Ovis aries: one gene and its partners. The protein of the gene in region 5 binds, or shares a complex with, the protein of the main gene of each other region. Links are inferred from orthologs where the notes say so. Each region holds a gene or a part of one and is shown on either strand. Other genes may lie near its edges.

Region 1 (4,696 bases), on a different chromosome or scaffold from region 5:
CCTAGAGACTGTCTGCTGTTCAGATGCTCAGTGACTCTGTGCCACCCCATGGACCGCCAGGTTCCTCTGTTCCTGGAATTCTCCAGGCAAGAATACTGGACTGGGTTGCCATTTTCTCCTTCAGGGGATCTTCCCCATCCAGGAATCTAACCGGCATCTCTTACATCCCTTACATTAGCCAGAGGATTCTTTACCACTAGCTGTCACCTGGGAAGCTCCAAGAGACTCTCTATAGTAAAAGCAACAATGGCAGGATCTATTGAAATTAACATGCTTTGAAAGACTGGGGAAAAACAATCTAGAAAAGTAGTTAAAGGCAAGTAGCTAAAATGGAGAGGTGGGATATTTAAAATTATTGCAAACTCCTAAATATTTCCTGCAAGGATTAGCCCGTAGTGGGTACTGTGCATCCAGGATTTTCAAAGATTTCAAGTATTCTTTTTGTCCTCATAGCACACTCAAACTGGTAGACCAGGTGCCCCTATTTTATAATTACGAAACTAGGGATGTGGTTAGAACTATGAACTACCACAATCACAATGTCCAGAGGGCAACTAACTGCAGAGGTCCAAGTATGCATAATCCCACTGCACGTTCCGGGCACACCTAGGAGGTATTCCGAGCAGCGGAGACGCAGCGAGAACCTTCATCTTATTAACCTATCTCGCTCGCGGCTCAGTCTCTATTAATTTACAGGGACTCCTGGGCCACAGCCAGGCAGGCGCACCTGGAAACCACTGGCAGGAAAAACGTTTTTTACGATCGAAACAAAACAAAATCCGCAGACAAACCCGACTTCTCCAAAGCTTTTCCAACCTGGAGTGAGGAATAGCTGAACTCAGAGAGAAAATTATCAGGATGTTTGAGAGCCCAGTTTCACCGAGTGAAGACCTGGAATACGTACGGCAAGTTAACGCAAAGGCCCGGGGCTGCACCCGACGTGGTAGGGCTGCAAAGACCGCCCGGACCGGCCCTGCTCCAGAGCGGCCCACGTTCTGGCTGATGAACAGGTCGGCGGCGCGGGGAGAGCAGCCCGCGTCCCGCCGTCGGGAGACGCCCGAGCGGCCGCTGCGTCCCGAAAAGGCCTGGGTCCCGGGCGGCCGCAGACGGCCCCCGAGGAGTCCCGAGTCCGGGCTGGGGAGTCCATGGGGCGGGCGCGTTACCTGGAGCAAGTGCAGCTGGGCCACTAGGCGCCGCGGCAAGTGAAGGAAGCAGTCGCGCGTGCTGGTGAAGGCCACGGTCACGGCCGCCCCGCCAGCAGCACCCGCCAGCCGACCGCTGCCCCACATCCTCCGCCAGCGACGGCCCCGCCGGAGGCCCACCCCAGCGGACCCGGGCTGCCTGCGGACCGAGGGTGACCGGGCCTGCTACGCTCGATCGGCCCCGCCCCCAGGCCCCGCCCCTCGCGCCCGCCGCGCCTCGGGAGCTGGAGCGGCAGGCCAGCCCAGTCCGGCTCGCCGGGCCTCTCCGCCGCGCCGCTGGAGGGCGGCAGCTCGCTCGCCGCCTACTTGCTCACAGGAAACGATGGCCAACCCTGTGGCTCCTTCAGCCAATCTCGGCGCGCCTTGACCCATCCCTCTCTCTGATTGGGTAATCAGGAGGGCAACAGGCGGATGTTGTCGTCTCTGCGAGGGCCAAAGCCGGCAAGATGGCGTCCAGTGGAGGGCAAGTTGGGGGCGTATTCGATCACCACGTCCAAAGGGCTGTGTGTGACTCGAGAGCCAAGTATCGGGAGGGCCGACGGCCTCGCGCTGTGAAGGTAAAGTGATTTTGGTTTCATTCGTTGTCGTCGGTAGCTTTATGTAAGCTGTAGCTTCACACGCCCAGTTAATGTAAATAAAGTCTTGAAAGGCTGCGGTCACATCCATTTGCTGGAGATGAGTGTGAGGGACGCCGGTACCCAGGTAGCAGATACTCTCGCGGCCTCTTTAGTCAACTGTTGGAGCTCCGTGAAAACGGGGTATGTGTTTTAGTCGTATCTTCCGTGTTTACAGTAGTGAATATTTAACTCTTTCCTGTAACATTTACCGAGGCAGCTTCTGAAGACATGTCGATTGGAGGTAGTCTATTATGTGCTTTAGCTCGAAGCCCTCACATGTAGGGTGACTTATTGTTTCTACAAAGAGAAGGGCAGATTAAAAACAAAAACAAAAACACCTTTTCTGCAGACCTGAACAGAGTAGTTCTTGTTTTCAGGGTTTTTGTTTGTTTGTTTGTTTTGAATAGTAACAGGTTGTCCTAGGCTTGTTTGTGAAACACATTTAATGCGTGTGCATTTCTTTTAGGTCTATACAATCAATTTGGAGTCTTGGTACTTATTAATACAAGGAGTTCCTGCCGTGGGAGCAATGAAGGAATTAGTTGAGCGATTTGCTCTATATGGTGCAATTGAACAGTATAATGCTCTAGATGAATACCCAGCAGAAGACTTTACAGAAGTTTATCTTATTAAATTTCTCAATTTACAAAGCGCAAGGTAATATACAAGTCAGGCAGTGTCTCATTTCCTCTGTTCCCATTGCTATCATTTTGGCCTCCCTCATTCTTTCATGAATTACTCAGTAATCTAACATGGCTTTTTATTTTTCTCCAGTATTCTTAATGTAAGTGTTAGCTTTATCAAAAGTCTGTCCATTAGGTCATCCCCATGTGTAACCATTTTCTGTCTTGTAGTGTGGTAGATTAAAAACTGGGTTTGGACTAAGTTTTCAGGTTCCACTGCTTACTAACATGATGACCTTGGACAAGTTATTTAATCCCATTAAACCTGTTTTCCTGTCCTATAAAATGTGTAAGGATGAAATGAGATAATCCATGTAGAGGGCTTAGCAGATGCCTCCTGCTCAGAATGCGGTAAACAACATTAGCTGTTAGGTTTCTTGTTATGCACCTATATGAATTGACCCCATCTTTTTTTTTTTTTCTTCTGAATAGCATAAATCCTCTGCTGTAGTAAGGGAAATATGAAATGCCTCATCTTATATTCTTGTCACTAATTTGCTTCAAGACCCATCCCTTCCCTGGCTATTACAATTCACATTTTCTGTGCTACAAACAGTACTGGGGTATATGGGTCATATATTGTTCTCCAGTTGCTCTTATGTATAATCTCACTGCCCTAACCAACTTGCCAGCTCCTCATGGTTAGGGAAGTATATTTCCTTATTGTGTATTCATTCCATGAAGCTTTTGCATCTCCCACACCCCTTTTACAGTGTGACATGTGGATTTGAATCCTGGCTCCACAAACCAAGGTGAGCTTGGACAAATAATCTCCCCATGCCTCAGAGTCATCATAGGGATGTTGAGAAGTGTGATTTCAAGTGAAGCATTTAGGCCACTGCCTGGCACATGGTAAAATCTCAGTGAATATTTCTTACCATTTACCTTGGACACAGAAGTACTTAATTTCGTAGTAATTCCTGGCCAGTCATAGATGTTTAGTAAGTATACATTAAATGAATACTATCCTCTCCTTTTCTCATTTACTGTTATATATTTGTGTTTTCTCCATTATTAAATGTTTATAATTGTAATATTTTTATTAATTTCTTATCTTTGAACCCCATTATAGGAACACATTGTGCTAAAAAGGCTAAGCTGGGCATGAGCTAATTTTTGAGGGCCTTTTAACACAGAATCTCTATTTCATGACCACAGATTGTGTACCTCAGGCCAACCAGCTGAATCTTATGTTGGTTAAAGGGAGTCTGGATATGTTTGGAAAACTTAGCTTAAAACCTATGAAGACTCTTGGGAGAGGGGGAAAAAGGCTCTGAAAGAATATGCAGTGGATCAGTAGGGTCAATACCATTCACGTGCAGAGCATCGCAGCTCCGAAGCTATAGGATTTATGTATACAACAAAGTCTGGACTTTGCTTTTTAGATCAATGCATTGTATGCTGGTTAAGCTTTCACCCTAAGTAAACCATGGTATCGTGAATTTCTGCTTAGGATGGCCAAGAGAAAAATGGATGAGCAGAGTTTCTTTGGTGGCTTGCTTCATGTGTGCTATGCTCCAGAATTTGAAACAGTTGAAGAAACCAGAAAGAAATTACAAGAGAGGAATGCTTATGTAGCAAGAATGACTAAAAATAAAGGTATGTAAAGCCTACTACTAAACACCTCCAATGTGTCAGGCATTTTGCTGAGTTTACCCTCCTAGAGTTTTCCCAGTCTAGTGACTATAAGCTACGAAGTTTTTTCTTTACAGAATGTTATGTAATCTTGCCTGGGAAGGGATAGATGTTATTTCATGGAAGATTCCTGCAGGATGAGAATGGTGGCTGAGTTCTGAAGGGAAAGTAGACATTACCCAGAAAGGGAGAGGAACAGATGGAAAGATGGGCCAGAGGAATAAATGAGCGTCATGCATTTTAAGGAACTGTGAGTAATATAACCACAACACAGCAGCTGACATGTGAATCTGAGATAAAGGGGACAGTAAGTGAATCCTGAAAGGCCTGTGTCCATGCTGAGGAATTAAGGCTTTGACCAAAAGGCAGTGAGAAACAACTTCTGATGTGCAGACCAGTTTGCACTGCGAATCTAAAACTGAAAACAGTGGGAAAATTCCCCTTTCATCAACACCAGCTGGCCAGATGCCCCATGTTTCTAATAGAGTTGCCCTGGACACAAATTCCCAGTGCACAGAATGGAGTCACAGAATCTAGTTCATGGATTGTAGAACGAGAG
Region 2 (4,650 bases), on a different chromosome or scaffold from region 5:
GAGGAACATCTTGGAGGACCCTGAACAAATGAGAGAAGTACAGTGTAGTCATTACATACAAAGGAGACCGAAAAGTTGGGGAACCGGGAGTACAGGGCAAAGACGATGGAAACAATGATGGAGTGTATTTCTCCTGATTTAGAGAACAGCAACTCTTCTAACTTATGCCTCCAATTTGATACTCTGTTGCTGAAGTTTCCAATGTATGTTACACTAACTCTCTTTCTTCACTTGCTCTCCCATTGCCAGATTTTAATTGCTCAAACACGTTAAACTTACTTCTGCCTCAGGATCTTTTGTTGTCCCCGACTGGAGGCCTCTTCCCCGAGATCTTTCTGTGTGTGGTTCCTTTCCAGTGCTTTCTCTCCAGAAAGTTGTTCCTGGAACACTCAAGCCCAAGCAGCACCCTACCTCTCTTTTGCATTTGATCAACACTACTTTTTTCCCTCAAAGAACTTATCACTATCTGAAATTACGTTTCTTATGTATTTGTTTAGTTTGTCTCCCCTGCTCTGCCACGAGAAAGGCTCTGTAGTGCAGGAACCTTACCAGTGTAACATGACACTGTTTCCCAGTCTCTAGTTCGTTTAATGAATGAATGATTGAACGAATGCTTCCAACAACCCTGCAGGGTACAGGTTATTGAAGAAAGTAGTTTTGATAATGGTCTTGGACATTAAGACCAGTTGCAGTCGCGGCAATTCAAAGAAACCCAGGCTGATATTCTTGCCAGACAGAAGCACACTATTAACAATCTGCAAATCTCCTTAGTTTCCAGCTTACTCATTTACTCAGGAAATACTGCGTCAGGTACCGTCCCAGGCACTTAGGAAACAGTACTGAACAAAATAAAAAATGAAGCTTGTGTTCTAGTGGGAAGGACAGAAAAGAGGGAGGGTGAGCAGAAACAAGTAAAACATATAGACGGTGGCATGTGTTATGGAGAAAAACAGAGCAGCAATGTAGATGAGCACAAGGTATGGCAATTTAAAATGGGCTGGTCAGGAAAGTGGAAAAGTGTTATCTGAGCAGAGATTGGGAAGAGCTGAGTGTATAAACCATGTGGACACTTGGAAGAAGAGTATTTCAGTAGAGAGCACAGCAAATGCAAAGACTTTGTAGCAGGAGCGTGGAAGCCACTGTGACTGGAGAAAGGTGAGCAATGGAAAATTGGTAGATCAGAGAGATCAAGTGAAAGAGGGCAAAAGATTGCCAAGATTTCAGTTTTACTCTGACTGACGTGAAAAACCATGGCAAGTTTTCAGCGGGGGGTAATATGATCTTATGTTTAGAAGGATTCCTCTGGCTACTGGTTTGGGAATAGACTGAGCATCCATAAACAGAAACAGGAATTCCAGTAGGATCCTACAGCCATAGTGCCAGATGAGACAAGTGAAGTGAAAGTGAAATCGCAAAAAAAAAAAGGAAAAGTGAAGTCACTCAGTCGTGTCCGACTCTGCGACCCCCTGGACTATAGCCTACCAGGCTTCTCTGTCCATGGGATTCTCCAGGCAAGAATACTGGAGTGGGTTACCATTTCCTTCTCTAGGGGATCTTCCCGACCCAGGGATCAAACCCAAGTCTCCCACATGGCAGGCAGATGCTTTAACCTCTGAGCCAACAGGGAAGCCCTAATGGCTTAAACCAGGAGCTAGTGATGGAAGTGGTAGAAAGTGTTAGTCACTCACTCAGTCATGTCCAACTCTTTGTGACCCCCATCAACTGTAGCCCGCCAGGCTCCACTGTCCATGAGATTTCCCAGGCAAGAAAAAAGGAGTGGGTTGCCATTTCCTTCTCGAGGGTATCTTCCCAACCCAGGGACTGAACCTGGGTCTCCCCCATTGCAGACAGACTCTTTACTGTCTGAGCCACCAAAGAAGCTGGAAGGTGGAAGAAGCGGTAGTGAGTCTGGATATAGTTTGAGGGTGGTGTCAACATTTGCTAACCAGCTGGTTGAGGAGTTGTGGGGGGCGGGAAGACATATATTTTGTCAGCTGAGCCTAACAGGATAGAAGCAGAGGTGTGATCACTACCTCAGTTTTACAGGAAATGTAGTTAAGAGCATGGATTCTGAGTTTAAAAGCTGTTCCTGGTGGTTTAGTCACTAAGTCATGTCTGACTCTTGCGACCTCACTGACTATAGCCTACCAGCCTCCTCTGTCCATGGGTTTCTCCAGGCAAGAATACTGGAGTGGGTTGCCATTTCCTTCTCCACGGATCTTCTGACCCAGGAATCAAACCCAGGTCTCCTGCATTGCAGGGAGACTCTTTACCAGCTGAGCTATGAGGGAAGTCCTATCACTTACTATATAACTTTGTTTTCCCGTCTACAAATTAGGATAATAATATTTCCTAACTCTTGGGAAGTTACCGAGATTAATGCAGTTTTCATTTACACAGCACAAGGGCTCAACGGATGGTAACTATTCTTTGGTTATTACTAATACCAGTGCAGAGAAACAACGGGAAAAGCAAGTTTCCCAAGTCCCCAAAACGAGCCAGCGGCATTCATTTCCCCCCTTCCCTCATTCATTCATTCATTCATCCATCCAATCTTCCAAGTTTTCTGAAATTTATCGTTTATTCTATACTGGATCCCTGGAACATTTAAGAAGTCAAAACCCTGGTCTCGGTTTTTAGCTCAAGATCCTCAATTCTTAATTCTAACACCTCCTCACAGGGCGGTCAAGACGCTGAAAACGCGCGTCAAATGGAGAAACGCAGGGAGAATCGCCGGGTGTACGCCGCTTTTACCGTGTTTTTCTGCTTTAACTCCTAGGAGAGAGAGTCCCGCTCCGGCCGGGAGTGTGGGTTAAGGGCCGCGCAGGATCACCAGGTGCTGAGGAGAGAGGAAGATGAGCTGAGGGCCGAAGGCCGCCTGCTCCTTATACTCACCGCTTGCAGCAAAGCTCCCGGCGCCGCCTGCTGCTGCCCGGCTCCAGGGCCCGACCCTGCCGCTCCCAACAGTAATTCATGTCGCTGCCGCTTCACTGGGACCAGTGGCAACTCTGGGCCCTTACGCTTCTGCTGTTCTATCATGGCGGCAGCCGCTATCCTCAGGCCGCCACTGACCGCGCCGACCCCCTCAGGTACCTCACGATTGGCTCGGACTTAGTCTTTCCCGTAGAACTTCCGGCCGATAGAACCCAATCGACTTCCAATATACCTCTCAGCACCGCCCCCTGAGAACTTTCCTGTTATTGGCCAGTTCTTTCTGACATCACTAGAGTACGAATTCAGGATTGGTGGATAGAGCTGGAGTCCCGCCTAGGCGCGCTGTGTCTTGTGGGTGGAAGCTCACTGACTGGGTTTTGGTGTTTCGCGCAATGCTGCGAGGGAAAGACCAGAAGCAGACAACAAGTAAGTGTAAGGAAGGTCGAGGGGCGGGTGGCTGTGGGATCTGGAGTGGTCTGAGGCTGGCTCTTCTCAGATGCAGGTTTGATTGCAAGGGGCAAAGGGGGCCCCGAGTTCCTAGCTCTGGTGTGTAGTAGCCTGGGTTCCAAGCCTAAGAAACGCGGGTTCGATCCCTGGGTGGGGAAGATCCTCTGGGGAAGTGCATGGCAACCCACTCCAGTGTTTTTGCCTGGAGAATCCCACGGACAGAGGAGTCTGGCTGGCTACAGTCCATGGCGTCGCAGAGTCGGACACGACTGAAGCGACTTAGCACCTAGCCTGGGTTCCCTTTCTAGCCTGGAGCAGAGTTTTGGGAGCCTCTGCTCAGCCTGGGGCCCTCGATGGCTGACTTCTTCAACAGTGTTTTCCGTGCAGAGCCCTAGCCCAGGCGATCCCAGGGAGAAAAGGCCCATCTCCTAGCCTCCATCAGGGTCCTCTCTGACTGAAGAGGCGGACTTGTCACTGCCATGATTCCGCAGCCTTTACTAGCGCCTCCTCAGAAAGATAGAGATGAAGGTAATGTCCGACTCTTGGCCTCCGGAGTACAGTTTTGTTGAGAAATTCGAACTCAGACCTGTGAACTAGGCCTTCTTCTCAGTCGTCCAACTAATATTTATAATACAGAGCACTGGGCAGACATTGTGAACCAAACATGGTCCCTGACTTCAGAGCTTTAAGTCTGGGGTTGGGGGGAAATAGATGCTCACCAGATCTCACTAGGAAATGGGAAGTATGGAAGTGTGTGCTACCTAGGAGAGGTACCTGGTGTTAATGAGTGCCTGAATAAACAGGACGGCTTCTGTAAGGAAAATATGCCTGAACTGATAGCCTCAGGGAAGAATTATAATTAGTTGGGTGAAGCAAGGAAGGCAGAATGTTCCATCTAGAACAGCATGTGCAGAAGTCCTGTGGCAAATGCGAGGAAAATGAGTAAAAGGCACAAAGAGGCCATTGTGGCCAGGACAGAAAATGAAGGGGAGTGTGGTACAAGATGAAGCTGGAGGCGGGTAGAGGCCAGACTTTGTAGCTTTTACTTTAAGATTAATGGGCAATCACAGGGTTCTGTGTGTGTGTGTGTGTGTGTGTGTGTGTGTGTGTGTGTGTGTGTGTGTGTGTGTGTGTGTGTGTGTGTGTGTGTGTGTTTTGCTGGGTGTAGGGAGTGGTGTCGTGGGGAAGGCAGCTTGATGCCTCAGGTTTAGTAGTGTGAATATACTGGAGGGGAAGTAGATGCAGATAGAGCACTTTGTTGAGAGTTGC
Region 3 (4,515 bases), on a different chromosome or scaffold from region 5:
AGAACTTTGACCTCCTCTGCCTGCCCTCCCCCACTCCCTACCCTGGGCAAGAGTGGCAATCATTTCTGGGCAGAATTCCTTCAACAAATATTGAGCTACTGTGTGTCACGAACTGGGCAGAGAGGAGTAAGACCTGGTCACAAAACCAAGGACTTAAAGAATTCTTTGCAGAGGTGAGGGCCTCGGAAGCCTTAATTCAGTTCAGTTCAGGCACTCAGTCGTGTCCAACTCTGCGACTCCATGGACTGCAGCACACCAGGTTTCCCTGGCCATCTCCCAGCTCTCTGGAGCTTGCCCTAACTCATGTCCATTGAGTAGGTAATGCCATCCAACCATCTCATCCTCTGTCATCCCCTTCTCCTGCGTTCAATCTTTCTCAGCATCAGGGGCTTTTCCAAAGCCTTAGGAGGGGGCAAGTAATGGAGGATGTGATGGCCCATCAGATTCCAGAATCCACACTTGGCTGATCCTGGGATTCCTCTAGAGAGGGTCCAGAGCAGTTCCTGACCAGTGTGGGGTAGAGCCCACTTCTGTCCTGTCCCTAGATCTTTACTGCTCCATCCAGACAGGAGCAGAGAAGCCCCCTGGCCACATTGGGCTGAGATAGACTTCCCCAGGTCGAATCAGCTCTCCTTAAAATGTGAAGGTTCTGGTGAGGGGCCTGGGGACACTACCCTGCAAGAAGCAGCCAGGGTCCCCAAGCCCCAGGTGTGTGCATAGGGCTGGGGCTGATCACAGCCACCTGAGCCCACCAGGTGGGGGCTGCTCCCAGTGGGGCTGTGGCAAGCTGGAGTGTGGCAGTCACTGTCCTTGCGCAAGGCCCTTGCCCTCCAGAAATTCACAGCCTAAGCCGCTTCCACCCCCACATTTTGAAACACGCTGGAGTCCAAGAGGGCCACCTTCCTCCCTGGTGCTCTGTCACCTGACCCCTTCCTGAGAAACTGAGAAAGGACTAGATAGGAGGGCTTCAGCATTCTGGGCTCCCCACAACCCAGAAAGCCACCAAAGTAGTATTTCTGGGGTCCGATGGTGCTGCCCCGGGTGCGCCCCGCCACCTGGCAGGCTCAGCTCGGGACTGGGGAGCAGAGGATACCAGGCGCGCTGACTTGTTTTCATCTTGGCCTCGCCTCGGGCATACAGGGTCACAGTTCCCCCACCAGGGATCCAAGCGTGTCCCCTCCACTGGGAGCAGAGTCTTAAGCACCGAACCACCAGGGAAGTCCTCACTGGGCTTTTGGGAAGAGCCGACCAGAAGGTAGTGTCAGAAGAGCCACAGAGGGGACACAAGGAGCAGGCGCTCGCGTTTCCACGGCGTCCCTGGATGGTGGAGGGGCGGGGACTGCGGCCCATCGCCAAGCGCGGGTGCATCTGAAGGTGCTTCTACCCCGACAGTCCCCCACACAGGCGACCCCCGGCACCTCTGAGCTCCTACGGGCCCTTGGGGCTCGCCTCAACACAACCGCAGGCTTCAGTCACCACTTCCATCAAGAGGCGGATCGCCGCCTGCGAGAGACAAAACGCTGGAAGCGGGCCCACGCTCAGCGACGGCCCCGCCCATCGCCCCTCGCCTCGTCGCCCCGCCCCTTTGGCCCTTTGGGCGTGGCCAAGTGCCGCTTCCCCCGGAAGTCCGGAACCAAGCCGAACGTCCCGCCCAGCTGGGACGGGCCTTCCTCACGCGGCGCGAGAGTGGGTCCTTGTCTCCTGGTCCCCGACTTAGGTGTTCAGTCCCAACTCCTACGAGGTTCTGAGTCCCCACCGCGTCTCCCACAGCCCAGTCTCAGCTGCAAGCTGCTGGAGAATTCGTTTCCCCTCCCCGGCCCCGCGAAGCCAGGTGGGGTCCTAGCCCCGCGCCCCAGCCTCAACCTTCCACACTCTCCCGCCCGCTCCCCGGGGCCCCTCGCCGCCCGCCCATGGCCCAGAAGCCGAAGGTAGACCCCCACGTCGGTCGGCTGGGGTATCTGCAGGCGCTGGTCACGGAATTCCAGGAGACGCAGAGCCAAGGTGAGTGTCTCGGGGTGGGGGGCAGGGGGGGCTGGGCCGGGGTCCAGCCGCGACCACCGCCCCGACCCTGGCGCCACTGCCCGCTTCTCCATCGCAGACGCCAAGGAGCAAGTGTTGGCCAACCTCGCCAACTTCGCCTATGACCCCGGTAACTACCAGTATCTGCGGCAGCTGCAGGTCTTGGATTTATTCCTCGATTCGCTGTCGGAGGAGAATGAGACCCTGGTGGAGTTTGCTATTGGTAAGGATGGGGCGCTCTCCTAGGTGCCTGATGAGGTAACGAGTTAGAAATGAGTTGTTGGGAAAGGGCTCTTCGGCCGTCTCTCAGCAGCGAAGGCAGACTTTCGTAGTGTCTGTAATGCCTCCGCGGCCAACACAGCGTACAGGTTCACGGGTGGCTTGAGTCTGGCCTGGAACCCACGCCCAGGACCATTTCTACCTGTCTACCTTCCCTGTCGGTTAGAGGTAAGATCATAAATGGGAATGGATTGAAGCCCCTTGGAGGGGCGGGGTGGGGGCGGGGGAGTTGAGCGCTCTTTTAAAACCTCTTTATCTTATATGTTTCACCATCAAGAGAAATAGCGTTCACTCGGAAGGGCTTATGGCACCTGTAGTTGTTCTGGTCTCAGACCTATTGATTTATTCACACGTCAGGTGTTTGTTGGGCTGGTACCCTGTGAGCAAAGTATTGTTCTAAATGCTGGTGAGATGGCCAACAAGTTGGGAAAAGATCTTTGCCCTCAGGGAATTTACATTCTAGTAGAGAGAGACACAAGGTTTACACACAAAAGAAGCTGAGGCACTGAAGAAAACAGGCTGATGAAGAAGAGCAAGGGAAGGAAGGGACTACTTCTGGTTTGGCCCTGGCGGGAAGGCACAGGCCGGGCCAAGACCCCAGAGCAGGAGGAGCCAGAAGGAAGGCTGATGTGGCACCATTGTGGTGAGTGAAGCCCAGAGTGGTACTAAATGAGAGAGAAGGATTTAGTGCTGCTAAATTAGAGAGCACCTCGCACCAGTTTACAGGGATTCAGATCTAGGCATTGGGTGGGAGTTTGGAGTTTATTCTGAGGGCAAACCAACATTCCTGGAACTTCCCTAGTGGTCCAACAACTAGGACTTTGCTTTTCCACTGTAGGGGCGATGGGTTCCATCCCTGGTTAGGGAACTGCTGCTGTTGCTAAGTTATTTCAGTCGTGTCTGACTCTGTGCAACCCCATAGACGGCAGCCCACCAGGCTCCGCCGTCTCTGGGATTCTCCAGGCAAGAACACTGGAGTGGGTTGCCAGTTCCTTCTCCAGTGCATGAAAGTGAAAAGGGAAAGTGAAGTCGCTCAGTCGTGTCTGACTCTTAGCAACCCCATGGACTGCAGCCTACCAGGCTCCTCCGTCCATGGGATTTTTCAGGTAAGAGTACTAGAGTGGGTTGCCATTGCCTTCTCTGGTTAGGGAACTGAGATCCTGCAAAAAGCAAACAAAACCAACATTCTTTCTGCAGCATGTGTCTTTAAAAAATAACATTTCTCTGCATAGTGAAAGGAGTCTTATCTTCATAGGGAATGAACTTAATAATTCCATTGTCACCAAATACCCAGTTAGGCAGACTTCTCTAATAGTTCCCAAGCGGACATTTTTTGTTGTTCTGTATAAACCAGGATCCATGCTCTTAATCTGGTTGTTATGTACGTTAGATCTCAATCTCTCGCTCTCTTTTGAAAGAAACTTTGTATTTTATAACAGTAGAAAAATTGCGAAGGTAATACAGAGTTTCTATGTATACACACCGAGTTTCCTTATTATTACCATCTTACATTAGTATGGTACACTTGTTACAATTAATAAGCCAATAGCAATAGTCCTGTCTAACTCTTTGCAACCGCATGGGCTGTAGCCTGCCAGACTCCTCTGTCCATGGGATTTCCCAGACGAGAATATTGGAGTGGGTTGCCATTTCCTTCTCCAGGGGATCTTCCTGACCCAGGGATAGAACCTGCGTCTCCTACACTGGCAGACAGATTCTTTACCACTGAGCCACCTGGGTACCCCTGTTATTAACTGAAGTCCATGCTTTGTTCTGATTTCGTCACTTTTTCCCTCATAACCTTTTACTGTCTCAGGATTCCATCCAAGATCTTATGTTAGATTTAGGCTCCTTTGGGCTTTGCTGGTTTTAGACTTTTTCTTTTTGTGAATGACCTTGGCAGTTTTAAGGAGTACTGGTCAGGTATTTTGTAGGTTTTCCTTCAGTTGGGATTTGCCTGACATTTTTCTCGTTATTAGACTGGGATATGGGTATTGGGGAGGATGACCACAGAGGTAAATGGTAAAAGGCCATGACATATCTCCTCCAACTGAAGCTATTTTGGGAGGTAGAGGGGGGTGCTTCCCACGTGGGATCTTAGTTCCCTGACCAAGGATCGAACCTATGCCCCCTGCAGTGGCAGTGTGGAGTGTTAACTGCTGGACCACTAGGGTCTCGACTCTGCAGAAAACTTTGCTAAAAAGAGCAGTCGGGAGG
Region 4 (3,653 bases), on a different chromosome or scaffold from region 5:
GGAAGGACTGATGCTGAAGCTGAAGCTCCAATACTTTGGTCACCTGATGCGAAGAACTGAGTCATTAGAAAAGACCCTGGTGCTGGGAAAGATTGAAGGCAGGAGGAGAGGGGGATGACAGAGGATGAGATGGCTGGATGGCATCACCAACTGGATGGACATGAGTTTGAGCAAGCTTTGGGAGTTGGTGATGGACAGGGAACCCTGGCATGCTGCAGTTACTCTGAGCTTCTTAACTGAACTGAACTGATGTGACCTTGGGCTAGACTGATTTACAAATTTTAATGGGAGTTCAGGGAGCCTTAAGTACAAGGAACAAATAACATCCTTTGGCTCACTGGTGCTGATCCCTCATAGAACAGCAGTTTTCAGTTTTAATGTTTTTGCAGACATTGACTTTCCTTACAGTGCTGAATTTCCCCCCCCCCCAGCTCCATGTTCAACCTCAAAAACCCAAAGCTTTGCAAGGAGACCAAACATCTGATGAAGAGAAAGATTTTTGAGACCCTCACTGCCTACTGAATAAAGTAAATAAAAGAGAGGAAGTTTTGTCTAAATGTTTTTATTTGAAACAAATAGCTGCACCAAGCAAGAGCTTACTTTCCCCGCTCCAAATCAACAGCACAACAGGGGCAAACATCATTTGGCAGGACAGTTCCAATATGTGAACATCCTTCTTTCTACTTGCTGTGATTGGGGTCACTTTATTCATAAGCAGTCATTTTTAGACAAAATATTAACCCCAAAGTACTAATGTCTCTTGAAAGTGGCCTTAATTTCACGTGTGGGGCAGTATTTTCTATAAATGCCAAAAGGTGGGAGAAGCACAAACACAACCCATTTTTAAAAAAACTAAATAATTCAAAGTAGAATTTTTCCATACCCCCCTCCCTCTCCTGTAATAAAAAGTAGTGCTGGGCTCTGACACCCAGATTTGGTTTTTATCCTGGCCATGTACAAAGTGTTCCCCATATGACTTGCATCATTAGGGTTATCAACAACAGTTCGTTCACTCTGAACAAAGTATCTACTCCTTCCTTCTCTTTTTGCCTTCATGCTCATGTTCCTTGGGACGGCTGCTATCTGAGGGTCTTTTAGAGCCACCGTGTTGCTTGGCTTCTTCCAAAAATTTGTCCAAACCGAAAGGATCCTCCTCAAACTGAACTGGTCCTTCTCGGCCTCTTTGTCTACGGTCTGAACCAGAAAACTCCTTATCGGGAACAAATCTAGGGAAGAAGAGAAATGGCTATGAACCACTTTATTTTCACTGGTGTAGATGTTAAAACTGAGCGGTCTGCCCTGGTACCTGTTAGTCTTTATTCTGGCTTCTAGGTCATCTCCATACATGTCCTTGTCCAGATTTTTACTGGGCCTGTAGATATTCTGGGCCATATCTTTTCCACCTCTCCAAGCTTGATCATAAACATTGTAAATTTCATCTTCCCCACATCCAAAACCACTGTCCATACCCTGTGGAAAAATAGACATTAAAGTATGCAAGTTTTTATTATAAGTTGAATCAGATTACATTCTTAGGAAGAGTAAACCCTTGCTCATTTACAGCTTACATGTTCAACAATCTGAACTACAAATTAAAAAGGTTATTAAAAAATGGTCACAGGAGGGGATATATGTATAGCTATGGCTGATTCATGTTGAGGTCTGACAAAAAAGTCTGTAAAGCAATTATCCTTCAATAAAAAAAAAAACGGTCACAGTTACTCTTTTTTCTTCATATCACCTTTGGGTCCTTACATTAAATATGGTACTCATTAACGACTGTTTTAGCAAAGTGGTCTTTAAAACTGGAGGATACTAGTATAAGCAGGCACTTGACAATCCATTTGTGCAGACACAGTGGCAAGATGAAAGAACTGCAAAGCATTTTATCTGATGCCATTTATAGTAATGTTAAACTCCTTAACTGTGTGAGAACACTACTGAAGTGTAACACAATATTCTCAATGAAAATCTCAAGTCAACAAACTTGTTTTGTGATGGTTAATATAAGAATGTGCCTTTTGATAAAACTTTTCCTCAACTTTTTTTTTTTTTTGGTTTCGAAGGTAGACTTTGTTATTCACGAAACGGTATCCTGGGGTGTGAGGGGTCATGGTCTCTGTTGAACCATGGTTATGGCCTAGAAGCGGGAAGCCAGGCCCTGACTCAGCTGGTGCAGAGTAGGGGCGAGGACCTGGGTTCTCCTGATGTGGTTATAGTCGTGCTGGGGACGTATGTACCCTGTCACCCCCCTGGTGGGTCCGTGAGTCTGTCCTGCTGTGACTCGGATACCATGCTCTCAGCATGTTTGCTGGAACAATCCGCAGGGTGACTCCCAGCCTTGCAGGAGGAGATGGGACCCCTCTATACCCCAGAAGACATTTATACTTCTGTATTCTCAGCACAGTCTGCCTTGTCTTTATTTATATACATGTATCTGTCTTTTCCAGTAGACTTGCAGGTTCCTTGAGTGTTAAGACATGTCTACCTTTGATCTCACTGACTTACATACAGTAAATCATCAATGTTGGGTGAATTAAAACATAAAGGGACTGCCTCAGGCCTAAGGTGTTCTAGCTAGTTAATGACAACTGATACTAGAAATCAGACTTTCTGATGAGTACTTTGGTTTTATAGCTTCATTTTTCAAAGATCCCAAGTTTGTGTTTTTATAGCATAAAAAAATTATTTTTGCAAATATCGACAAAAAATAACCCAAGAGACACTTTTATAGGACACTGGCTCTATTCTAGAAATAAAAGACTCACATACCAGAACCAAGTTTTACTACCTAATTTCTTTCATTTTCTAACAGTGTCTCAAATCCTAGCCAACTCTAAGAGCTATTCTAACTTGTTTCTTAAGTTACAATATGCAACTTCTGATTTTTTTTTCCCCATCACACCAGCATACCTTAGGCTGATGCAAATGTCTCATATGCTAATTTTCTTTTCCCTGAAAATTGTCATTTGTATCAACACTTAAGATATGCTATTTCTAAAAAAAAACAAAAAAAGATATGCTATTTCTAGACTCTGTGTACCTTGGATTGGTTGAAGAGCCTTTGGTCATACTGAACTTCATTGGAAGTCCGAGGGTTGGGCACGCCAAGAGCAATGACTTCACTGATGTCTCGATTTTCATTTCTCTGTAGTTTCGACCTGTTTTGAAATACCATGCCACAAATTGAAACTTCTTCACAGACAAGATGAATTTCAACTTCAATACAACCATTATCAGAAGCAGAGGAAATAAATATGTCCAGTTCACATCTTATGAACATATATATTCCTTGATAAGGCACAATTAGGATGCCATTTCTTATAGTATTTCAGATACATGATTATTGGAAGAGACAGGGTTTTACAATTAGGCATTCCTGATACAGAAAAGAACTGCTAGAGATTTCTTTTTTCCCTTGAGGAAAATACAGGACTACAACATTATAATTTGACATCTAAACACTACACAAAGTGATCACCACCAAAGTGTAGTTACTGTCAATCACCATACAATTGACCTCCTTCACCCATTTCACTAATTCCTCAACCTCCTTCTCTGGTAACCACCAGTCTGTTCTATCTATGAGTTTTTGTTTTGTTTTTTGTAGATTTCACGTGAGTGAAATCACACCCTGTTTCTCTTTCTCTGAC
Region 5 (4,464 bases):
GACAAGAATCTACACATGGACATCACCAGATGGTCAACACCGAAATCAGATTGATTATATTCTTTGCAGCCAAAGATGGAGAAGCTCTATACAGTCAACAAAAACAAGACCAGGAGCTGACTGTGGCTCAGATCATGAACTCCTTATTGCCAAATTTGGACTCAAATTGAAGAAAGTAGGGAAAACCGCTAGACCATTCAGGTATGACCTAAATCAAATCTCTTATGATTATACAGTGGAAGTGAGAAATAGATTTAAAGGACTAGATCTGATACATAGAGTGCCTGATGAACTATGGAATGAAGTTCGTGACAGGAGACAGGGATCAAGACCATCCCCATGGAAAAGAAATGCAAAAAAACAAAATGGCTGTCTGGGGAGGCCTTACAAATAGCTGTGAAAAGAAAGAGAGGCGAAAAGCAAAGGAGAAAAGGAAAGATATAAGCATCTGAATGCAGAGTTCCAGAGAATAGCAAGAAGAGATAAGAAAGCCTTCTTCAGCGATCAATGCAAAGAAATAGAGGAAAAGAACAGAATGGGAAAGACTAGAGATCTCTTCAAGAAAATTAGAGATACCAAGGGAACATTTCATGCAAAGATGGGCTCGATAAAGGACAGAAATGGTATGGACCTAACAGAAGCAGAAGATATTAAGAAGAGGTGGCAACAATACACAGAAGAACTGTACAAAAAAGATCTTCATGACCCAGATAATCACGATGATGTGATCACTCACCTAGAGCCAGAAATTCTGGAATGTGAAGTCAAAGTGGGCCTTAGAAAGCATCGCTACGCACAAAGCTAGTGGAGGTGATGGAATTCCAGTTGAGCTGTTTCAAATCCTGAAAAATGATGCTGTGAAAGTGCTGCACTCAATATGCCAGCAAATTTGGAAAACTCAGCAGTGGCCACAGGACTGGAAAAGGTCAGTTTTCATTCCAGTCCCAAAGAAAGACAATGCCAAAGACTGCTCAAACTACCGCACAATTGCACTCATCTCACACGCTAGCAAAGTAATGCTCAAAATTCTCCAAGCCAGGCTTCAGCAATACATGAACTGTGAACTTTCTGATGTTCAAGCTGTTTTTAGAAAAGGCAGAGGAACCAGAGATCAAATTGCCAACATCCGCTGGATCATCAAAAAAGCAAGAGAGTTCCAGAAAAACATCTATTTCTGCTTTATTGACTATGCCAAAGCCTTTGACTGTGTGGATCACAATAAACTGTGGAAAATCCTGAAAGAGATGGGAATACAGACCACCTGACCTGCCTCTTGAGAAATCTGTATGCAGGTCAGGAAGCAGCAGTTAGAACTGGACATGGAACAACAGACTGGTTCCAAATAGGAAAAGGAGTACGTCAAGGCTGTATATTGTTACCCTGCTTATTTAACGTATATGCAGAGTACATCATGAGAAATGCTGGGCTGGAAGAAACACAAGCTGGAATCAAGATTGCTGGGAGAAATATCAATAACCTCAGATATGCAGATGACACCAACCTTATGGCAGAAAGTGAAGAGGAACTAAAAAGCCTCTTGATGAAAGTGAAAGTGGAAAGGAAAAAGTTGGCCTAAAGCTCAACATTCAGAAAACGAAGTTCATGGCATCTGGTCCCATCACTTCATGGGAAATAGATGGGAAACAGTGGAAACAGTGTCAGACTTTATTTTGGGGGGCTCCAAAATCACTGCAGATGGTGACTGCAGCCATGAAATTAAAAGACGCTTACTCCTTGGAAGAAAAGTTATGACCAATCTAGATAGCATATTCAAAAGCAGAGACATTCTTTGCCGACTAAGGTCCATTAGTCAAGGCTATGGTTTTTCCTGTGGTCATGTATGGATGTGAGAGTTGGACTGTGAAGAATTGATGCTTTTGAACTGTGGTGTTGGAGAAGATTCCTGAGAGTCCCTTGGACTGCAAGAAGATCCAGCCAGTCCATTCTGAAGGAGATCAGCCCTGGGATTTCTTTGGAAGGAATGATGCTCAAGCTGAAACTGCAGTACTTTGGCCACCTCATGCGAAGAGTTGACTTATTGGAAAAGACTCTGATGCTGGGAGGGATTGGGGGCAGGAGGAGAAGGGGACGACAGAGGATGAGATGTCTGGATGGCATCACGGACTCGATGGACGTGAGTCTGAGTGAACTCCGGGAGTTGGTGATGGACAGGGAGGCCTGGCGTGCTGCGATTCATGGGGTCGCAAAGAGTCGGACACAACTGAGTGACTGAACTGAACTGAACTGAACTTTAGTATTAACCGCCGACGGAAAAAGTGAGATCAACCAAAATACAGCCCTTGTCATCTCTTTTCACTCCTTCCACTCTCACCCGGGGTTGACTCCTATTACAGCCTTCAGCACAGCTTAATCATCACTTCTTGCGCTGGAGACCCCTCACACGAGCCCAGGAAGCCACGGCCTATTCCTCTGGGGCTCAGGAGCCTTTGCAAGGCTGCAGTTCTACCCTTACGCAGGGTAGCTCGTAGCCCGCTCTACCCGGAGCCCCAGCGACTAGCGAGTGTCTGTTTCAGCGTGTCTGTGCTGAAGAACCTCTCTCCTCCCCCAGATAAACACTTTTTAACACGACGACCACGCGGACGCGGAGGTGACCCCCATCCCCGGCTGGCCCTCCCCGCCCGCGGCCCCCGCTCAGGTAGGGAGGACCAGCTCCCGGGACCACACGCCTCCCGCCCCAGGGACCACACGCCTCCCGCCCCAGGCACCACCAAGGCCGGGCCAACCCCATCCCCGGCCTCCTCCCACAAGGCCCCGAGCCGCTCACCTTGGCCACTTTGGGGATCCTTTGCTTCCCGGCAGCGGTGGAAGCCGCCATGGCTGCAGCGGCGACCGCGGGCGAGCCCGGGACCACAGAACCTTCCCCGAGGGCTCGCCCACACCGCGCAACTTTCCGACAACAAGCGGGATCCCGGAACCGGAAGCGGAACTGGCTGGGGCGACCTTTGACCTCTTTCCCGCGCCGTGACGGAGTCAACGTCGTTTCTGTGGTAACCGGGCTGCGCGTCCTCTTCGGAGCCTGGGACTCGGGAGTTGCAGGTGAGGTGAGGAGTGCTGGCTGCATCCGGGCCGTCAGGGGCACATCCTCAGATCGCCTCTGGGATTAGGATGACCGTGCGAGGACGGGTGGATCCGTGAAATCGCGGTATCCCGCAAGGGGACAGGAACCCGGCTACCGTGCGGACGCTCGAGGGCGGGGGTGGGGTAGAAAACTACCTCCTGGCATACCTAGCGGCAAGCTGCTGACCTCCTCGGCCGCCCTGAGCTGGGGTGCATTCTGGGCTTTGTAGGCCCGAATGGTCAACTGCCCCTTGGTTTCCGGACAGTTGTGACCAAATAATTCTATGGCTTATAAATGAAAGTGACTGAAGGAATTTTAAAGCCAGATAACAGAAAAAAGTGAAAATAAATCATCGGAGTACTAGCAAATAACCCAGCCTTATAATGTCAGATAAGCAATGTAATATATCAATCTTAAATAATATCAGATAAACAGATATTTAAAATTTTCTGTCATTGTGTCTTAATGTCAATTTTCGTAGCGCCAGTTCGCTTAACTTTTGTTGTTATTGAGTCGCGAATTCAGGTCCCACTCTTTGCGACCTCATGGACTGTAGCACACCAGGCTTCTCTATCCTCCACTATCTCCTGTAATTTGCTGAAATTTATGTCCGTTGAGTCAGTGATTGCATCTAACCATCTCACCCTCTACCACCTCCTTTTCCTTTTGCCTTCAGTCTTTCCCAGCATCAGGTCTTTTCCACTGACTTGGCTCTCTGAATATAGTGGCCAAAGTATTGGAGCTTCAGCTTCATTCCTTCCAATGAACACTCAGGGTTGATTTCCTTTAGGACTGACTGGTTTGATCTCCATGCAGTTCAAGTGACTCTCAAGAGGCTTGTCCAGCACCACAACTAGAAAGTATAAATTCTATGGTGATCAGCCTTCCTTATGGTCCAGCTCTCAAATCTGTGCATGACTATGGAGAAAACCATAGCTCTGACCATACAGACATTTGTGGCAAAGTGATATCTCTGCTTTTTAATATATTGTCTAGGTTTGTCATAGCTTTCCTTTCAAGGAGCAAGAATCTTTTAATTTCATGGCTGCAGTTATCATCCTGCAGTGATTTTGGAGCCCGAGGGGAAAAAATATCTGTCACTGCTTCCATGTTTTCCCCTTCTATTTGCCACGAAGTGATGGGACTGGATGCCATGTTTTTTTAATGTTGAGATTCAAGCCAGCTTTTTCACTCTCCTCTTTCATCCTCATCAAGAGGCTCTTTAGTTCATCTTCACTTTCTGCCATTAGAGTGGTATCATTTGTGTATATGAGGGTACTGATATTTCTCCTGGCAATCTTAATTTCAGCTTCTGATTCATTCAGCCCAGAATTTCACATGATATGCTCTGCATAGAAGTTAAATAAGCAGAGTGACAATATACA
Region 6 (3,901 bases), on a different chromosome or scaffold from region 5:
AAACACACACACAAAGCTACAAGTGGTTTGAGAGGTTTGATCTGGGCATTGTGGTTCCAGTGGCTGAATTCTGAGATAATGAAGGTGATGGCTGACCAACTCATACAAAAGATCATCAGGACTGGCTTTGAATCTTTTTAGGTAGCAGAAGTTGGCTCAAATTCATAGGAAAATCCATTTCCTTAATGCCAGTGTCTCTATTTGCACGTTGTAACCCAGAGGCTCTTTAAACAGAGGACTGAGGACTTCCTTGGTGGTCCAGTGGTTAAGAGTCTGCCTGCCAATGTAGGGAACACGGGTTTGATCCCTGGTCCGGGAAGATTCCACACGCCACAAGGGAAACTAAGCCTGCATACCACAACAAGAGTGTCGCCTCTGCTCACTGCATCTAGAGAAAGTCCACTGCTGCTGCTGCTGAGCCGCTTCAGTTGTGTCCGACTCTGCGCGACCCCACAGACGGCAGCCCGCCAGGCTCCCGCGTCCCTGGGATTCTCCAGTCCACAACAGCAACAAAGACCCAGCACTGTCAAAAATTAAATAAAACTTGGAGGAAAGAGCACAAGACGATGACTGAACGCCTGTCCCTCAGGAATGAGGACAGGGCAGGAGAGCCTGATCTGACTGCTCTTGCTCCACTCAGTGCGAGAGTCCCAGCCATGCAGCAAGGGGCAATAAAATGAACATGCACTGGAAAGGAAGACAGACAGAACTGCCCCTGTGCAGACGTGACTATCTATGCAGAAAATCCCAAGTTTTAGGTTGGGATTTACTTAGGCCAAATAAATGAGTTCAGTAAGGCCACAGGGTGTAAGATAAACATACAAAAATGGATCATATTTCTATGTACTAGCCATGAACAAGTAAATACTGAAATTCAAAATATCACTTGCTGCTGCTGCTAAGTCACTTCAGTCGTGTCTGACTCTGTGCAACCCCATAGATGGCAGCCCACCAGGCTCCCTCGTCCCTGGGATTCTCCAGGCAAGAACACTGGAGTGGGTTGCCATTGCCTTCTCCAATGCATGAAAGTGAAAGTGAAGTTGCTCAGTTGTGTCCGACTCTTAGCGACCCCATGGACTAGAGCCATCATTTAATGATAACTTAAAAAAATTACTTAAGTGCAAATCTAGCAAAACACATACAGGACTTGTACACTGAAACACTGATAAAAGAAATCAAAGATCTAAATAAACAGAGATACACCTATATTCAAAGACTGGAAGACGCTACATAATTTTTTAAAATTTTTCAAAAAGTACAAGTTTAACACAATTTCAATCAAAATACTAGCAAGTTTTTTCAATAGATACAAACAAGATTGTTCTAAAATGTATGTGGAAAGATAAAGGCACGAGAATTCCTAAAACAATTATTTATTTATTTGGCCATGTCCTGTGGCATGTGCCTCCTTAGTTCCGCCCAGCCAGGGACCAAACCTATGCCTCAGAGTCTTAACCACTGGCCTACCAGGGAAGTCCCAGCAATTTTTAAAACGAAGAAAGTGAAAGAACCAGTCTGTTCAATTTTAAGACTTATTATATAGCTCCAGTAATCAAGACTGTGGTACTGGCAGAATGACAGATCAATGGCACAGAACAGAGGACCCAGAAATAAAGGCACACACACACACTTTTGATTTCTGACAAAGCAAAAGCAATTAAAGGGAGGAAAAATTGTCTTTCCACACCTAGTGCTGGAGTAAATGGATATCCACGGGGCGAAAAAGGAAATTTGATTTAAGGCTCCTTCCTTAGATTAAAACAAACTCAAAACAGATCATGGACTTAAATGAATATTAAAGAAAAACGTATCTTCAGGTTCTAGGGTCAGGGAAGTTCTTAGACATAACACCAAAAGCATAATCTGTAAAAGGAAAAACAGACAAGCTGGACTCCAAACAAATCAAAAACTTTTGCTCTGAGGAAAACTCTTTTAAGAAAATGAACAGACAAGATACAGACGGAAAGAAAATACTGGAAAACCTCTCACTCCAAAAAGGCCTGGTATCTAAGAATATATTACCAAAAAAAAAAAAACCTCTTAAAAATCAGTAGTAAAAAAACCCAAAACAATCCAACTAGAAAATAGGCACAAGATCTGAAGAGACATTTTACCTAAGAGGAAACACAGATGGCAAATAAACACATGAAAAGATGCCCAACGTCATTAGCCACCAGGGACATGCAAATTAAAATCACAGTATCACTATCACTTATCAGAATGGTCAAAATGGTCACAATACCAAATGCTGGATCACTCACATTATAAAAAGGGATAGCCACTGTAAGGACTGAATTGCGCCCCTTCCAAATTTACATACTGAAGTCTCAACCCCCACACCTCAGACTGTAACCAGATTTTTTGCAGGTAAGGTCTTTGAAGAACTGATTGAGTTAAAATGAGTAAGCCCCTAATCCAATATGGCTGATGTGGTTAAAGAAGATGTGAGTCAGAGATGGGCGAGCACAGAGGGAAAGACTATGAGGACCCAACAAAGAAGGCAAGCCAAGGAGAAAGGCCTCAGGAGAAACCAAACCGCTGAAACTTTGATCTCTGACTTCTAGCCTCTTAGATTCCGTTGTTTAAGGCAACCAGTCTGTGGTATTTTGTTATGGAAGACCTGGCAAACTAACACAGCACTCTGGAAAACAATTTATTAATGTTTTAGGAAAAAAAAAAAAAAAGCACCTACCATACCATCTACAAACTGCACTCCTGGGCATCTATCCCAGAGAAACGAAAACCTATGTTCACACAAAAACCTGTACAGAAATGTATACACAGCAGTCTTATGTCTAATAGCCAAAAACTGCTAACAACCCAGATACACTTTAATGGACAAATGGTTAAATCCATACCATTGACTACAGTTCAGCAATAAAAACGAAGGAACTACAGACAAAAGCAACAATATAAATGAATTCCAAAAGAACTTAGCTGAGTGGAAAAAGCCAATCCAGAAAGGCTACATACTGTGTGATTCTATTTACATAGCATTCTTGAGGAAACAAAATAACAGAAATGGAGAAGTGACTAGAAGCTGCCAGGAGTTGGAGGGGTAAGGGTAGGCGGGAACTGGGTGTGATATAAAAGAACTACTTGAGGAATCCTGTGGTGATGGAAATGTTCTGTATCTTGACAGAACTGATGTCAACATTTTGGTTGGGATATTGTTCTATAATTCTGTAAGATGGTACTATTGGGACAAACTGTGGCTTTTGTATTACCTTTTACAACTGCATGTGAATCAACAATTATCTCAAAATAAAAAGTTTAACAAAGAAAGAAGAAAAAAGAAAAAAAAAAGCCCAGTTTTTGGAGAAGCCCACTGCAGGTACAGGAAAACACACACACACCACTTTAGCTATGATGGAGAGGCTCTAGGTTTGGAGCCAGTACGAAAACATCTCAGTCCACTTACCTGCTTTATTTTGATTGCTGAGTGGTGAGGACTTCGGCTTCTCTTACTCCGGGGAGACTTGCTTCTTCTCCCTGAGGATTTGTTTTTCTTTTTGGCTGGGGACCTGTTCAGAAAATGGTACACACATTTATCTCAACTTTCATTCCCTCATACAAAACAGCTCCAAGCATCAGGCATATCCAACTAACACAAACACCATGTCTTTGCTGATCACACTAAAAGAATCAGGAGCTTCACTTTTCTGGTCCTATGTCTTCCACATACGTAACTGCCTACTAGAACTTCTCACTTAGATAGCAACTCTAGATTCCCAACCACCCAAGACACTTTCCTCTGTTTTCTGCCAGCTGGATAATTAGTGCCACCATCCACCCTGTTCCTCAGGCAAAAAACCTAGAAGTCACCCTGATTCTTTTTCTCCCCTCGACCAACAGCCCTCCATGCTCCTTCCCCACACAATCACGATCTATCAGCAAAGTC
Region 7 (3,901 bases), on a different chromosome or scaffold from region 5:
TGCCCAAACTCCCAGCCTCTGCCTGGGTCAGGCTCTTGACCCAAGATAGTCTTCTCATCTGCCTCCAGGATGATGAAGACCCAGCAACCATCCCTCAGACTCACCTTCCAAGACCTGGCCTTCATCTGTCCGACACACACAGGTGTCTGGGCTCAGGACGTCTTCAATTGTCATCTGGGGAAAGGGTCAGCAGATATGAGAATGTTAGCTAAGGGGACCCATTCCCGGGGGGAAGAAGCAGACCCAGGTGTAGGGTTCCCACCTTGGTGTTGTAATACTGGCCGCCCTTGTGCAGCTTGTCCACAAACCGCACTCGCAGATCCCTGTGCAGCCAGTGCTGACTCCGGGGGGCTGCCTTCTCATTCTTGGCTGCAGGCCCATCCTGTCTGCGGAGAGGGGTCAACACCAGGCATAGCTCTTTATGGGGGGCATGTTCCAGTCACCCCACCTTTGCCGATGTTTTGAAACCCACCCATAATGCCATTCCTAGTTCCTTCTAGGCACCTGCCTTGCCCTGGAAGCCTTCTCTGCTGGAGCCTCCCCACAGTTCTGCCCCTACCCCTACACCTGAGATGCTCAGTGTCCCACCGGTCTGGATGGTGTTTCCGCTTCCTCTCTGAGTCCTCCCAGCATATGTGGCTGTCCTGATCCTGGAGGGTCTTCCGTGATGAGGTTGTTCTGTGCTGTTCCCCAGGGGAAGTTCTGCTCACCTGACCTGTTCAATAGGGTGTGAAGGGAACCCAGAAACAGCCTTGGTATCTCACTCGCTTCCCTTCCAGGCCACACCTCAGCCTCAGGCCACCTCTCATCCGCCAGAGTACCCCGGCTCACCATCCAGCCTTTGCCTTAGCTATTAGAACACTGCCTGCCTCCTCTCAGCTGTCTAACCCACCTCCCATGTGCCAAAATGGCCCATCCATGCCTAGAATGCCTTCCTCCCCATCATGCCCTAGTCCTAGCTGTTCTCCATCCCTAGCAATGGAGCAGTCCACCACCTGAGAGACAAAAACTTTCCAAGGGTAGGAACTGGTTTCCATTCCTGTTGCTTCCTCCCTAGAAAGAGGCTAAAGACCCAGGGTTACTAGAGAAACTTCTCTTCAGTCAAACTGCATAAACCACTATGTTCACTCTCACCTCTTAATTCTGATCAGAAGTCACCCTTGCCATGCAGACCAATGTCCCATCCCTCTACAGATCTAACTCTCACCCCCAGGAACACTGCTCCAACTCCCCCAGATGAGTAACAGGCTCACTTACTCAGATTCAAGTTCTTGTCAAACTCCTTCTGGGAGACAGGCCGCAGGCAATACTCACTAACAGTCACCATGCGGCTCCCCACAGCCAGACGGACCATGGCTCGAACATTGTCAGGATCAAGGCCTTCCACCTAAAGTGTGTGTGGGGGGGGGTAGGGCGGGGGGGAAATAAGGCAGGGGTTGAGTGGACTTGACCCATGTTCCTAGGACCAAGTTGTCCACCCTTATCTCTAATAAGCGTCTTATCTCTAATATGCGTCTCTCCCAGCAGACTGAGGCTTGGATACATTTTAAGTATCTAATCCTCAGGGACTTGTGGCAAAAGGCATTCTCTCCCTTTTAGTTGAAAACTGAGGCTCAGAAAGGCCTGGCAAGTAGTCCTTAGTTACGGAATGAGATGTGGGTCTGGCAGCCCTAAAAGACAAGGACTTCCAGCCTTTATACTCCACACCCAATTCTGCCTCCTTCTGACCCTCACGTCAATCTTCCCTGCTGCCTGTTTTTTGGCTCCAGGCACATCAAGGTTCCTTACCTTCCCATAGAGGCCTCGGTGGGGGCCAGAAAGAACCACCACAGCTCCTCCAGGCACCAGTCCTTTAGGCTTGTCTTCCTTATCCTTCTCTTGCTCCTCATCTGGCCTCGGCAGGCGGCAGGGGCTGGTAGGGGCCAGGGCCTGGACCTCGGTCAGGTTGGCGCCCAGTCCTAACCCCTTGGGCCTCAGTGAATTGACACAGGGCTTCACTACTCTGCAGGGAGCACAGAATATGGACTTGTTGGGGGGATGCATCAGTCTTCAATGTCTTGTTCCCCACCACTATCCCCAACCACTACTAAACTCCCATCCTATCAACATGTTCAAGAACATCCTTCCCAATCTCATATTAGGACTATTTATGACCTACAGAAATGGCAATTTCATTTGGTTCAACCGAATAACATGCTGAGTATACCATCTATGACATGGTATCTAGAGTGGATTCTGAGACAGGTCCCAATAGCCAAATATACCAATATTTCTACATGGGAAACTATTCACACCAAACAAGATAAATAGACTGTAAAATGCTCACTGTCAATTCACGTCATATTTGGCTGCCAAGTATTTCATGAAAAAAAAAGTCTTGTTTTCAGAATTCTTTGGAATGGTAGAGAAGGGATTACAGGTCTGTATGATCATGACAATATCAAGGGTTTAGCCTATGCTTATCTGTGGCCAAGGGCTACTATAAGGGCTTTATGTGTACCATTTCACTTAACTTTGAAAACAGTGAGGTCAGTACTGTTATTATCTGCATTTTTCAGATGAGTTAGCTGATGCCCAGGGAGGCAATGTTTACATAAATAGGATCTCTTAATGGAGTTTCAAAGGGCAAACAGGAGGTTATAACAGCAGTGGAAGGGACTATTGAAATACTTAGGGTGGTAACGTGCCCTCTCCCTGCCTTGATGGTTCTGGGTGGGCGGTAATCATGGGGGGGGGGGTCTGTTCCCTGGCCCATCAGTTGTCCCCTGGTCGGTCTGCTGTCCCCTGTCCCTACCCGAGAAACTCACTGACTGAAGGTCCGGCCGATGCCCTCGCCAGGTTTCCAGCCCATGCCCCGCAGCATGGCCAGCCCGTAGGCCTCTACAGGGACTGCCTCGTAATCAGCCTCCTCCGGCACCTATGGGTTTAGGCAGAGGAAGGACGGTCAGGCTTGGCTTACCATGGGCCCACTGAAGTGTACTTGCTATCACCCACTGAGTGACACTTGAGGCTTCTTTTCCAGTGAGCTCAAGGGTGAGTTTTTCTTTCCTCTCATCATCCCTCACTTTATTCCTCCATGTTCAGTCCTTGGACAAATATTTATAAAGCATCTATTCTGTGCCAGCTACTGTTCCAGGTGCTGAGGATAAAGCAGTGAACAAAACAGACAGAAACTCCTGCCCTTGTGTGGCTTACATTCTAGTTGTGGAGACAGAATAAATGAAATGCCTAAAACATGATATGTCAGGTAGGGATAAGTCAGATGAAGGAAAATAAAGCAGGTTAAGGGGATGCAGAGGGATGGAGAAGGGAGTGTCACCAAGTTGATATTTGAGTAGAGACCAAAGGAGATGATAGAGGGAACCCTGAAGATACAGGAAGAGTGCTCCAGAGAGGACAGTAAAAGCAAAGGCCCCAAGGCAGGACAAGATCTGTTGTGTGTGAAGAGCATCGTGAAAGCCAATGCGATTGAAACAGATGTGGAGGCAAAGAGGGGTGGTAAGAGATTAATCAGGAGAGCTGGCTAGAAGCCATGATAGGATCGCAGCTGCAACGGGACCAGTGAAAAAGTTACTGCAATAGTCCAAATGAGAAATGCTGGTGGCTCAGACCAGAGGAGTTGTGGAAAAGAGAGATGACGGGATTTTGCTGACAGTATATAGGGTATGAAATGAAGGGATTCAAGGATGACTCTAAGGTTTTTAGGCTGAGTGAGAGGAAGGATGGATGGATCTGTGATGGACTGAGATGTGGAAGGCTCTGAGAGGAGGGAAAATCAGGGAAAGGAGGCCAAAACTGGAACAGGATGGAGAGTGAAGTGAAGGTCTTTTTTAAGATGAAAGAAACCCAGAGGTTGTCTGAAGACTGAGGAGAATGGTTCAGTTGAAAGAATCTCTCCGCT

What was found.
Region 1: CRNKL1 (region 5) and RBM48 share a complex: the UniProt entries of both Homo sapiens proteins name them as parts of the minor spliceosome. The link is inferred for Ovis aries from reciprocal best matches to the Homo sapiens genes CRNKL1 and RBM48.
Region 2: CRNKL1 (region 5) and SNRNP40 share a complex: the UniProt entries of both Homo sapiens proteins name them as parts of the minor spliceosome. The link is inferred for Ovis aries from reciprocal best matches to the Homo sapiens genes CRNKL1 and SNRNP40.
Region 3: CRNKL1 (region 5) and ARMC7 share a complex: the UniProt entries of both Homo sapiens proteins name them as parts of the minor spliceosome. The link is inferred for Ovis aries from reciprocal best matches to the Homo sapiens genes CRNKL1 and ARMC7.
Region 4: CRNKL1 (region 5) and SNW1 share a complex: the UniProt entries of both Homo sapiens proteins name them as parts of the minor spliceosome. The link is inferred for Ovis aries from reciprocal best matches to the Homo sapiens genes CRNKL1 and SNW1.
Region 6: CRNKL1 (region 5) and SNIP1 share a complex: the UniProt entries of both Homo sapiens proteins name them as parts of the minor spliceosome. The link is inferred for Ovis aries from reciprocal best matches to the Homo sapiens genes CRNKL1 and SNIP1.
Region 7: CRNKL1 (region 5) and GPKOW share a complex: the UniProt entries of both Homo sapiens proteins name them as parts of the minor spliceosome. The link is inferred for Ovis aries from reciprocal best matches to the Homo sapiens genes CRNKL1 and GPKOW.

What each region holds. Positions count from the first base shown.
Region 1 is NC_056057.1:10,622,365-10,627,060, forward strand, and holds the start of RBM48 (RNA-binding protein 48), read left to right. Parts: upstream 1-1,636; 5' UTR 1,637-1,648; coding exon 1,649-1,759; intron 1,760-2,285; coding exon 2,286-2,476; intron 2,477-2,482; exon of another isoform or gene 2,483-3,180; coding exon of another isoform or gene 3,181-3,254; intron 3,255-3,955; coding exon 3,956-4,101; intron 4,102-4,696. Other genes in the region: peroxisomal ATPase PEX1, read right to left, coding at 1,164-1,289. UniProt on the Homo sapiens protein: As a component of the minor spliceosome, involved in the splicing of U12-type introns in pre-mRNAs.
Region 2 is NC_056055.1:236,093,826-236,098,475, reverse strand, and holds the start of SNRNP40 (U5 small nuclear ribonucleoprotein 40 kDa protein), read right to left. Parts: upstream 3,070-4,650; 5' UTR 3,040-3,069; coding exon 2,896-3,039; intron 21-2,895; coding exon 1-20. UniProt on the Homo sapiens protein: Required for pre-mRNA splicing as component of the activated spliceosome. Component of the U5 small nuclear ribonucleoprotein (snRNP) complex and the U4/U6-U5 tri-snRNP complex, building blocks of the spliceosome.
Region 3 is NC_056064.1:55,673,365-55,677,879, reverse strand, and holds the start of ARMC7 (armadillo repeat-containing protein 7), read left to right. Parts: upstream 1-1,653; 5' UTR 1,654-1,910; coding exon 1,911-2,001; intron 2,002-2,098; coding exon 2,099-2,242; coding exon of another isoform or gene 2,243-2,255; intron 2,256-4,515. UniProt on the Homo sapiens protein: As a component of the minor spliceosome, involved in the splicing of U12-type introns in pre-mRNAs.
Region 4 is NC_056060.1:87,002,889-87,006,541, forward strand, and holds the end of SNW1 (SNW domain-containing protein 1), read right to left. Parts: intron 3,162-3,653; coding exon 3,044-3,161; intron 1,471-3,043; coding exon 862-1,470; 3' UTR 547-861; downstream 1-546. Other genes in the region: SLIRP (SRA stem-loop-interacting RNA-binding protein, mitochondrial), read left to right, coding at 432-503. UniProt on the Homo sapiens protein: Involved in pre-mRNA splicing as component of the spliceosome. As a component of the minor spliceosome, involved in the splicing of U12-type introns in pre-mRNAs.
Region 5 is NC_056066.1:39,182,039-39,186,502, forward strand, and holds the start of CRNKL1 (crooked neck-like protein 1), read right to left. Parts: upstream 2,938-4,464; 5' UTR 2,837-2,937; coding exon 2,786-2,836; intron 1-2,785. UniProt on the Homo sapiens protein: Involved in pre-mRNA splicing process. As a component of the minor spliceosome, involved in the splicing of U12-type introns in pre-mRNAs.
Region 6 is NC_056054.1:12,368,180-12,372,080, forward strand, and holds part of SNIP1 (smad nuclear-interacting protein 1), read right to left. Parts: intron 3,525-3,901; coding exon 3,422-3,524; intron 1-3,421. UniProt on the Homo sapiens protein: Required for pre-mRNA splicing as component of the spliceosome. As a component of the minor spliceosome, involved in the splicing of U12-type introns in pre-mRNAs. Down-regulates NF-kappa-B signaling by competing with RELA for CREBBP/EP300 binding.
Region 7 is NC_056080.1:56,005,670-56,009,570, reverse strand, and holds part of GPKOW (G-patch domain and KOW motifs-containing protein), read right to left. Parts: intron 2,918-3,901; coding exon 2,808-2,917; intron 2,003-2,807; coding exon 1,789-2,002; intron 1,388-1,788; coding exon 1,258-1,387; intron 716-1,257; coding exon 589-715; intron 387-588; coding exon 263-386; intron 175-262; coding exon 105-174; intron 1-104. UniProt on the Homo sapiens protein: RNA-binding protein involved in pre-mRNA splicing. As a component of the minor spliceosome, involved in the splicing of U12-type introns in pre-mRNAs.